Solanum lycopersicum: one gene and its partners. Each later gene encodes a partner of the first gene's protein in a complex. Links are inferred from orthologs where the notes say so. Each region holds a gene or a part of one and is shown on either strand. Other genes may lie near its edges.

Region 1 (4,232 bases):
TTGGAGAATCTCAAGCCTGCCTCCAGCGATGCAACCAAGGTCCTTGTTTGCTCCAAATTCCCAAAATCTGGCACAGAATCGTCTGTCTGGCCTATCATATCTTCCTCATGAGGCAAGCAGCTGTCTGTCAGACTGTCAGACTGTTCCTTGTTCATCTCTTCACCCACATTGAGGACCTCCCCATCTTCATTGCTAATTTCATCACAGGAAGACAGTCCATCCAAAACACTTGTTGGCTGAGCCTTCGGTCCTAGGTCATCTAACTTTTTCTTGTATTGTTCTAAGGTTGCTTCAAAAGATGCTGCTCGAAGCTGGGGTCCAAAGGGATTGTGCTGCAACATCATAATAAGTAAATTCAGTGCAGATTTTCTGACAATTGCACTCTTATCCTCTAACCTCCCAGCCGCTACTTCTGCAACCTCATTCCACATGCCAATTGAAACTGAATGTTCTTCACATAATTCAGCCCAGACCTGAAGCACTCGACTCCTTGTATAGGCTGACACATCCCTACAACGTTCCAATAAAATTTCCAACATGGCCTGCTTGGTTCGGAGACGAATCGATTTAGAACTCACTTCACCTTCACCGTCGTCGAAAGCCTTCATTACCAACTTACCCAACACCCCAACAAGAGCATTTCTCATCTTATAAGATTCACCTCCAAAATGTGGGATTAATAAGCCAATATTAGTTGAGATCAACTTAGGCATTCTATCAGCGAGCTCTACAAGAAAGCGCCCAACATTTTCAGCCCCTACTGTATCCTTCACATAATCTTTCGGGGCAGTCCTTCCTATCTCTCTGATAAGAGAAGAAGCCATGCTACCATCAGCATACTTCTTTTCAGCCCAAGCAACTGCATCAGCCAAATGGGAAACTGCAAAATCTAATTTGTGAACCAGGTGCAAAATTGAAGCACATGATTGTGCAGCATAGTGGTATTTGGTAGCACATGTCCCGATTATGCGAGTCAAGGCGTCTTTTGTGTCTGAATCTTTTAAGACTGCCGCATTCTCAAACAGCGAAAAAGCATTCCTGCAGCAATCCACATCATCAGATTGAGTTACTACTTTGATCCACTTAAAGATAATCAGCTCAACAAAAAGAAAGAAAAGCCCTTACTTCACAATGAAGGACAAGTAATTTTCATCGGGATCCGATGATCCAAACAGCATCGAGAGGTTGATCTCTAATGAATTTGCAACTGAATTCAGTATCCTTGCCCGTTGTGGCTCCCAATTCCATGCACTAACAAGTTGCTTCTTTCGACTACTAGCGACCACCTAGAGCCAATCAACATACTATCAATTGCCCTTGAAATTTCAGTATGAAACAAAAAGGAACATATGCTTTCAAGAAGAGCTATAAAGAAAATAAATACACACAAGGACATCACAAAATCAACTAAACTCAAAATCTCTAGTATCCCTTGAAACTCCGCCTGGGATCATTTTAGTACTCCCTTTGTTTCAATCTGTTTCACTTACCTTCCTTTTTAGGTTGTTTCGAAAATAATGACTTTTTCCTAATTTGGCAATTCTTTGATTTCAACCTCATGTGTTGCATGTTTGAGACCACAAAATTAAAGAGCATTTTGGTACATTATACATCTTTAAGACTACAAAATTCAGAAGTATTCTTTACATACTGAAACTTGGAGTCAGGTCAAACTAAGACAAACAAATTGAAACGGACGGAGTAACAACCTTTAATCATTTTTAGTATCAACAGGATTACAATATCCCTTGCCCGCAAGAATACACATTTATACATGCAGTTGAAATTGACTAAAAACAGTAAATTCATTATAAGCATTTCATAAAATTGCACTCCTTGTGAGTATACTACATGCATCACACACACATACTATCAGATAAAGAAAGAAATTTACTTTTGTACTGTTGTTAGAACTAGATGTAGACTCCTCAATGAGCACAATGTGAATGAGGAAGAAAGTGTATATTTTGAAAGCATTTCGATATGATGCAACTCTATCAGCAAGCGAACACTCATCCTCCTCACTGTCATTCTTCTCTTCATCAGCATTTCCATCCTTCTGCTGAGATACCCTCAAGAGGGAATCCACAGTGGGGAGCAAAACACTGAGGTTGGACCTAAGAGACTCCACCAAATTGAGCTTACACCCTGGAGTAAGACAAGAAAACTCCTTCACCAGTGAATACACACGGTCAAACACATCATGCTCCTCCACACAGAATAGCTCTTTGTCCGATAGGTCAAAAGAGACGCCTGTTTAAATTAAAAAAATTAGAGAACCAAGTAGAAAAAATCGAAAAAAAATAAGAACCCAGTTGCCGAAATCGAAAAGGAATGAGAACCCAGTTGCCGAATTCGACAAAAGAAGAAGAACCCATTGTGAAAAATTGAAGAGCACGCAATAGGTAAGTTCAAAAAAAAATTATAAATTATCGAAAATTGACCTTTAAGCTGAAACCCAAGAACAGAAAAGAACAAACCTTTGACAAATTCTTCCAATTCAGAAGGACGGAGATTGCTCAGTGAAGTGGGATTTTGAACTGATAGACAGTTGCTATCGGAGTCTTCTTCTTCCAGAGAGTATAAATTTGGGGGAAATATGAAAGGTGGAGCCATTTTAGAGAAATGGGGTCAAAGATTTGAAGAATTTCTACAGAAAATAATGGTGTAAACTTCCTAGATCGGTTAGATTTTTGAATTCACAAAAGCTTAAGCAGAAGGAAGAAGAAGAGGTTCTGGGAATGAGATGAGAAAATTTGAAATGAAAAAAGAACCGTAGGGGAGCGGGAATACAATATCATTTATGTTTCGGGTTCGAGTTCTAATCAGGTTACGAAACTTTACATAAATTTGAAATATTTATGTAAATTTAATTTAATAGAATTTCAATATAATTATCGAATAATAGATGGAAAATCAAAAAAAAAAAAGTCACTCATCTTATTTTTTATATTTCTTAGCTTTTTATTTGGATATTTTTTAAGCGTCACTTTTAACATAAAATATTATATTCCTTAAGCTTAAAATTCGAGACATATGGTTAAGATTGGATAACATTATTATTAATTTTTATTCATCCTAATTTCTATTATTTTCTAAACACAAAAGGCTATTTTCTTTAGGGGTATTCTAATGGTAAATGTTATATTTTTAAGACTTAAAAATTCAAAATATTTAATTAAATATCATCATTTAATTACATCGCATCCTAATTTATACTATTAAAAAAAGGAAAAAAATTTCATATATGGTAAATGTATTTGATTAAATAACATTATATGGGTATAGTTTACCTAATTACATTATATGAGTATAGTTTAGTTATTAAAGGTGTCTTTAATTTTGTATATAATTTTTTTATTATTATTTATACAATTCTATTTTAAAAAGTTGTTTGTAACTGAAGCATTAAATATGGTAACAATAAATCAAGATAATGCCACAATTTTAGGGAAACGTCCTTTTTTTAAGCTAAACGTTCAAATTCAAAAAAAAAAAATCATACAGCCATTGAAACAAAAAAATTATAATTATTTTTTTGCTCTTTGTGAAACTGAAGTTCAGCAATTTTTGCAATCAAATACAGATAAGTTTTTATTCGATGAAATTTCTTGTTTATTATTGCAATAACTATACAATGTTAAATTGGTTTTAGAATTTGTGAATTGTTTTCGATCGTTTGTTTTTAAAAAAAAAATCAAAATATGATTTTGTTAAGCTGAAATTTTGCAACATACAATTATATACTGTTCATGTAATTGTATATGTTATTCGCGATATTTGTATATTTTGAAAGCGACAATATTTAATCAGTGTTCATAGTTGTATATATTCATAAATCATGTGTTTTATTTTTGATAGAATTATGTACTATTGTAGATGTAGTCTTTGTATATTAAAGAGAATAACAGTATAAAAATTCTATGTCATACGATTTATTTTTGGAAGAAGTATACACTATTGTAGATGTAGTGTTTGTATATTAAAAAAAACAACAGTATAAAATTTCTATAATTTGATTGTATAAAAATTGTTGTATTAATTGTATATATGATCTCATTGAATTATTTATATATAAATATTCTTTTCATAAATGTACAGATAATGGGCTTATTAGCTATTTTGGTTATGCATTCTGAAAAATGGGACGATACAAATAGTTACGTTGATTATACTATAGAAGGAGTAGTTTTTAAGGAACAGTCAACATTTCTTGATTTTTATACTACTAT
Region 2 (3,652 bases), on another chromosome or scaffold:
AACTTTTTCTATGTGTTCTCAAACTTCTATAGTTGTTAAATTAGTCATACAAAATATGTGTTTCCCTCTATTTATACACATCAGTCTCAATTTTAAGTAATTTACTTATGTAATAAACATTCCTTCAAAGACCGGATAGATCTAAGTCATGGTAAGTAATCTCTTGCAAAACCTTTTTATAAGGCAGGTTGCAATACGTCCCATAGTTCTCTATCTAAGATAGATAGTCCAAGTAGGTTTCTAAGGATAAGAATTAAGGAATGTCGGTGTCAGTTCAAATGTGATAATATATACAGAAAACGTCTAACAAAAATATGTTCAACTGTTCAGTTCAAAAAAACCCATAATTTAAGTGTCAATGGCTTCATCAACCGCTTTGTAATACTTGCTCTATTTGGGCCTATAAAAAATCATATCAAAAGCTCAACAGAAGTTCAACTAAATTTTGCTATATCCACATTGAAAAGATTCAGTTATTTTATTTAGCGTACAGAAAGGCATAAGCACAAATACATGGCTGCGTCAATCTAATTAGCAAAATAAATGTAGTAAGTACAATATCAGCAAAAGCCTGAAAATTGACAACAATTCAAAAGCCAACTGTTGACAATATCTGATAATTTACACGAATTAACTAACCTATAAAGCACTACAGAAGAAAGGATCCACCACAAGCAGCATATGCTTGAATGGCCAATCTACAAGTGATATACATTACAGTAAGAAATCCAAAAGCTGAAAGAATAAATGACTTAGGCCACAGCATTAGGAAGACCGTTCGTGAGTTTCAAGTTGTATACTGAGATCATCCAAGCCGTGACAACCTTGTATCCGTAATCCATGTTCATTAGCAAGATGCAGTAAGCAAATGAAGCATAAATGAGGAGATATTGCATCGACGGATGTTGATGCTTTGCATTCGTTTGGAAAAGCAGCCAAGATGTGCTTGAAAGATACACCTTCTTCCTGCACATTACCATGTGAATCATTCAGGATATAGATGTCTGACAAACATGCTAAAAGGTAAATGGATAAAGCCCCGTCAATTAGAATGTTATGCTGATCAATGATAAGAGAACAACCCTGGAGGAACTGCTTAACAAAGGGAGTCTTGAACCGCATTAATTAAATAAAATTGGCTAAAGAAATTGTCATAAAGTCAGCCAATTTAGTAGTTCATTTATAATCTCATTAATGACTATGCAGTTATATTCATTTGCTTTACAGCTTCCCACCCTTTTGAGGGATTTAAGTTGAATACTGGAGTAAATCAAGTATGTAAATTTTCTAGATATTTCATCAATCAAATTCAGACCTTAACAGACTATCGTACAATTGCTCTGGCACACCCTTTTATTGTTTAAATGATAAACAAGTCTAACTAATATCGGATGTTTAGCTTCCAATTGATTGCTTCCATATTAGATGTAATCAATTAGTTCAAAACTGCATATCCAACTAAGATAAATGAATATCCACTTGTCAACTATATTATACTACAGAATGGAGAAAAAAAATGGATCACTTGCTCATCTCCTTAGAACTATTTTCACTTGCTACTATTTAAGAAGAGCCAATATCAAACGTTTGACCTTAACAATCCCTGGTAAACACTAAGTAGGTGTTTGGACATGATCTGATTGAGATATAAGAAAAGTTGTATTTGAAGTTGAAGAAGGGGTATTTGGAAGTTAGAAATTGTGATTGGACATGAAAACAAGTTTAAGTTTCATATGTACAAGTTGAATGAAAACATGAAAAACTCAAACTTCAAATTTGAAGTTAAATAGCCGGTCAATTTGATAAACAAACAGTTGCTTGAAATAATCTACAAATACCATTTCAAATTTCCGAACCAAAATCTATGGCAAAATAATAATAATACTCTCCTTATCAGTTGATGTGGCACTATCACTCGGCATGGTGATGAGAACGAATACTAAATTTGTTGTATATAAGAGGATATTCTACATGGGAAAAATGCATAAATTCACTAGCAAGAAGTAGAACACACTACCAGTGAAGTAAGAAGTTTGAACTCACCTCAACTGATGTTTGATTCAATTGGTCCCAAAGTGTTTCCTTAAGTGCTTGAACATCTACTTGTTTGGATGTTTTATCATACTGAACTTCAATCTTGTTTACCTGTTAATTCAGACAAGGTCACTAGATGTTTCAGTTTGCTTCAAAAGAAGCCCTCCATCTAGCAAATTCTACAGAGGAACAACATCCCCTAGTAACTGTGCAACGAAAGATTTCTGTCGGAATAAGTTTCCATTTAGCAAGCAACATGAACATTTTGACATTTTTCCTCCCACATATTAAGTGACAGATAACACAATTTGACGTTTCTTCTCTTACGTTTGCCTAAAGAATAAAGGAACTAATGCTTATTAATGCTGCAAATGTCCTTGATGAAGTATATTTTCTTTTCAACATAAACAATGACTTATTAACGATAGTACCAAAGAGCCACAAGAAAAAAGAAAGAAAGAAACAGGTACAGCAAAACCTTAATAGAACAGCTAAGGTGCAAATTTCTTAAAAGCAAAAATCAGTGACAGGGTTTGAAGTGCCTGGTACTCATAACATGATATTTGGTAGTAACTGGTTAAGTACAAGTTGATAAATGTTTAAGTCATAGTTTTGCAGGAGATCTCACTCAATTGTATATATCATACTTGATCAATTGTTGGCCTAAGCGTCGAAAGTTACACTAGGAGGAATCGAGATTGCAGAACCACAAACATATATAGTCAAGATTTGCAAACAGGAACAAACCTGGCGGGGTTGAGAGACAAGTGTACTTGATTCCTCCACATCACTAAATGTGTTGCCATCATCAAAAGCCTCAGGAAATCCACCATCATCATCCCAAGATGGCATGGCTCCAAAATCTTCACTTTGTTGACCAGCTTCATCTACACAAAGAACCATGCAACTCAAGTCACATAGTAACAATTTTTTCATCTGCCACAATACGTGACATTCCGATTTTTTATGAAAACTGGTAAATATACAGCAACAGGAGTACGTTAATTCTATAGGCAGTAGAAGACACAACCTATGAAATAGTCAAGAAGCCAATAGAGAGCATTCATATCTAGGAAAGTAGGATTTACAAAAGACATCGCAAGAACTCTTCTAAATTCAACTCAAAAGCAGATGAAATCATTTAAAGCACTTAATTGTCAAAAGCCACAGTAGTGTCACTGCTCTAGTAGGTAAGATGACCTAGCAAAAATGCATTTGAATTCAAATTCAACATTTGCAGTTAAAAATCAACTGCAAAAACAGAATCTATCACTCATTAATGTTATACATATCCATAATTATGTCCATGTACAAAGTTTTAACAGTTGATGGCCATAAAAATTATCTCACCTGGGATTTGCTTTCCTCTCCTTCCAAGGCACTAAGGCAAGAGAATACAAGCAATCAGAATGTATTTTTAAGGTAGTCAGCAAATAACAAACTCATCAAAGTGACGAGACTTACCGTGACATTGGGTCGGAGAAACAGCTTCACAAGATTCTCAGGTTGATAATGACAATCTTCTGGAAGTAATCTGTTACACGGTGTTCTATTTGCTGGAAGGAGTAGTAACTTGGGATTCTTTGGAGGAGCAAAGACATGCAATAGATCAGTGTCC
Region 3 (3,500 bases), on another chromosome or scaffold:
AGTTCCTTCAATCTATTAACTTCATCCTTACTGGGTTCTGATGCACTTCTCAAGGAATCCAGTTGCTTTTTTAGATCATCGCATTGGGACTTCAGGCTATCAATCTGTACAGAAACCAAAAAAGCATTTAGCTCTCATGGTGCAAGACAAGCGTTAAAAGAGATTAAAAATAGTCATAGAAAAGAATTGCAAATAACATCAATAAAACATGAATGTCAGACCTCTTTTTTGCATTTGGCTAATTCCATCTCGCCAAGAGAAAGAGCCTTCTCTGAGGCCTGGTAACACTTCACAGCATCAGTAATTCTTTGGCGTACATTATCCAAGTTTCCGGCGATCTGTGAAAGTTCATTTTCAGCAGCAGATATAGCCTCTGGTGAAACGCTAGCAGCACGGATAGATGTGCCCATTTTACCACCACGAGGTTTACCCCCTCCACCACTCATTGTTCCAGATTTTTCAAAAAGAGCACCTTCAAGTGTTACAACACGGCGAAACTCTCTGTCCCCACCGTAGGCAATACGTGATGCCTGCATAATTAACAGTATCGCAAATTATTGATCTAGCAATTCTGCCTAATAATGAAAATACATATAATGCATGTTGTCTGAGTCTTGACGTACAATTATGGCGATCAGCAAACCTTACAAAAATAGTATTTGAAATCTCCATGTTATTGTATGTCCTAAAATAGATAACTGGAGAGCCCTAGCTAAAATCACATTTCAAGAGGTCCAAGTGTTAAATTTCTCAATCTTTTATTTGGGCGACAGAAAATAATCACTGCATTTGCTAATCAGTCAAAATGTTGACTAGAGATAATTTTACCAAGCAAGTCAAAAAATGGTATGACAAGCCAAATAGTCAAAACAGTTGTATTTCATCAGGGAAGAATTAAAAGAATTATGTAAACATCACCTGATCAATATCTTCTGCAACAACTGTATTTCCTAATGCAGCAAAAAATGCTAGTTTCATCCTCTCATCTCGAACTTTCACCAAATCAAAAAGGCGTGGGACTCCTTCTGGCGTTCTGACTTTCTCTCTGATTTTAGGCAAATAATGAGCTTGTTTTTCCTGCGAAAAATATGTATAAATCAAATATACATTTGAAATAACACCAATGATTTTACTTTTCAGGGACTCCTTACCAATGAGTATTTTGGAAGTGTAATTTTTAATGGTAATTACACATTTTCTAGTTCAAACCAAATACATTTGACCTCCAAAATCAATGTGAGATTTATCTACTATTTGAATGCAATACTTTATTGCACTTGCTTAATTTCATCTTTTTTGTAGCCAACTAGCATTGGGAAAATACTACCAACTACCAAGGTACTGTGATCCTCACAGAAGGTCTTTATGATCCAGCTTCTTATTTAACTTTCACTGCAGCAATCATGTTCTTTTTTCTTTTTTTCTTTTTTTCTTTAGATAAACTGCAGCAATGTTCTTTCACATGTCCAACAGAGAGTGAGATTCCAATCCAATTATAGACCACTTGGTTAGCTTCTCCAAAGGGCACGGTGTATAGTTTAAGAAACTACAAAAATTAAAGAAGACATACCAAAATCATGAAAGTTGCTACGCCGAGGGTTTTGCTTCGAAGAAGCTCCACGCATGCTTGTGCTGCTGCTGTAGTTTCTACAACAATATAATCAAGCCCAGAACATGCGGTTGATATGGCAACATCATACTTTGCTGTGGGAAAATAAAATATTCAGTAATTTATGCTCAAATTATGTGAGCTATAGTTCAGCTCTTAATTTCACTACCTCTGCCAACAAATGAAACAAAAATAAAGCAAAGGACGTGAACTAGTTTTAAATGTGACATAAATATTCTCACCATCAATCGCACCCAAGTCACCCATTCGACCATATATGCCATCTATCACATTTGCCTCCTTAGCATGCATTATTGCTTTTAGGACAGATCCCTGGCTCTTTTCAGATTCCATAACAGATGAAAGCTCAGTAAGCTTTTGTCTGGCCGCTTGTTCAAGAGGTATCAATCTTTCTTGTTCTTGAAGGCATTCCTACAACCAGTCAAGTACATCACAAGCCCAGAACAAATTCAACAGCTGGTTAAAATGACAAATGGTAGAGATACTCAAAACACATACCTTTTCAACAGCTCGAGCCTCAAGTGCTTTAACCTTGTTCTTCTCAAGCTCATTGGCGATGTTTTTTGAGCTTGCCGATTTTATCTCTACTCGTTTCTGTATTTCCACAATCTGCTCTTGTGCTTCAATATAGGCAGCACGACCAGCCTCATGCTGAAAGCATTAATGACTAAACCCATGAGTGAAATATTAAATAGCTAGCTTACGGACCAACTAAGCAATTTAAAAATGTGTATTATTCTGAAAAACTGCTAGTACAACTTCACATGAGGTAATGCGCTTGGCATTTTAAGCTTCCATGTTGGAATAAGACAAGTCATGACTAAAATGCTTCATGCAGCTTCAGTTAAAAAGTGCAGATCTCATAGGGTAAGTGAATCATATTATAAGGAAAAGAGCTGTCGGAGTAAGAGTAGAGAGGAGATCTCAAATGTTATAATCAGCAAATACCTTTTCACTCAAAAGTTTACTTTCAGTTGATGCCACTTCAAGCTTTCCCTTGTGCTCAATTAAGTGCTTTTCCCAAGGCTCTAATTCAGACCGAACAGCAGAAAGCTCACTGCGGAAAGCCTCGGTTTCAACTATTTGGAAACAATTGTACAAGAGTGAGAGAAATATATTTGATATGTTAGAGCTAGACCAATAAATAAGGCTGCTATGAGCAATAAACATCAATGGTTAGATGCAAAAGTGAACTTATGTAATAACTTAAATTGTTAGTCATCTAACTCTTACCCAAAAGCACCAATAAGAACAGCCATTAATTATCAAACCAATGGAATATTATCTAAAGAAGTTAATAGAAAAGAGACCTTTAAAATGAGAAACAAGCCTGGAGCTTAAAGTCAGAAAGGCTTCTGAGTGTGATGCCACTTCATATGTACTGATCGAGAGTTATGAGAAAATATCTTTATAACCGATACAGCAATATCAATTATTTTGAAAAAGGAATAGTAATTGATGTTGCTGATATACTTACTTCTGATCGTAAGTTCATAAAAAGTATTTATTCTGGTCAGTGCGTATGGCCTTATGCAGAGATAAGTGTGAGATCTAGAGATCCCTAACTGGACAGAATAATGTAGAAACAAGCATAAAAATATAGCCGACCCCAACTAATTGGAATTGAGGTGTAATTGAAAGAAACTAATTGTAATAATTGCATAATGGCAATAGGACAAATTCAGAGTATTTGACATGCAAACCACCAAACAAGCACTTAATTCAAGTACTTTACCTTTAGAATTCTCCTTTATTTCATCTAAAATTTTCTCCTCATCCACCAAAAGTTGTTGCAAGCCTGGAATATCTTTCTCCAATTTTGGAATAAGATTTGCAGACTCCTCACACTCATTAGTTGTGTCAGAAATTT

What was found.
Region 2: condensin-1 complex subunit CAP-D2 (region 1) and condensin complex subunit 2 share a complex: the UniProt entries of both Arabidopsis thaliana proteins name them as parts of the condensin complex. The link is inferred for Solanum lycopersicum from reciprocal best matches to the Arabidopsis thaliana genes AT3G57060 and EMB2795.
Region 3: condensin-1 complex subunit CAP-D2 (region 1) and structural maintenance of chromosomes protein 4 share a complex: the UniProt entries of both Arabidopsis thaliana proteins name them as parts of the condensin complex. The link is inferred for Solanum lycopersicum from reciprocal best matches to the Arabidopsis thaliana genes AT3G57060 and SMC3.

Annotation. Positions count from the first base shown.
Region 1 is NC_090809.1:60,386,476-60,390,707, forward strand, and holds the start of condensin-1 complex subunit CAP-D2, read right to left. Parts: upstream 2,801-4,232; 5' UTR 2,617-2,800; coding exon 2,481-2,616; intron 2,254-2,480; coding exon 1,895-2,253; intron 1,287-1,894; coding exon 1,126-1,286; intron 1,039-1,125; coding exon 1-1,038. UniProt on the Arabidopsis thaliana protein: Essential protein. Regulatory subunit of the condensin complex, a complex required for conversion of interphase chromatin into mitotic-like condense chromosomes.
Region 2 is NC_090806.1:62,344,342-62,347,993, reverse strand, and holds the end of condensin complex subunit 2, read right to left. Parts: coding exon 3,499-3,652; intron 3,416-3,498; coding exon 3,385-3,415; intron 2,922-3,384; coding exon 2,782-2,921; intron 2,146-2,781; coding exon 2,044-2,145; intron 967-2,043; coding exon 766-966; 3' UTR 501-765; downstream 1-500. UniProt on the Arabidopsis thaliana protein: Regulatory subunit of the condensin complex, a complex required for conversion of interphase chromatin into mitotic-like condense chromosomes.
Region 3 is NC_090801.1:66,532,125-66,535,624, reverse strand, and holds part of structural maintenance of chromosomes protein 4, read right to left. Parts: coding exon 3,366-3,500; intron 2,710-3,365; coding exon 2,579-2,709; intron 2,282-2,578; coding exon 2,129-2,281; intron 2,042-2,128; coding exon 1,852-2,041; intron 1,705-1,851; coding exon 1,571-1,704; intron 1,078-1,570; coding exon 919-1,077; intron 531-918; coding exon 222-530; intron 105-221; coding exon 1-104. UniProt on the Arabidopsis thaliana protein: Central component of the condensin complex, a complex required for conversion of interphase chromatin into mitotic-like condense chromosomes.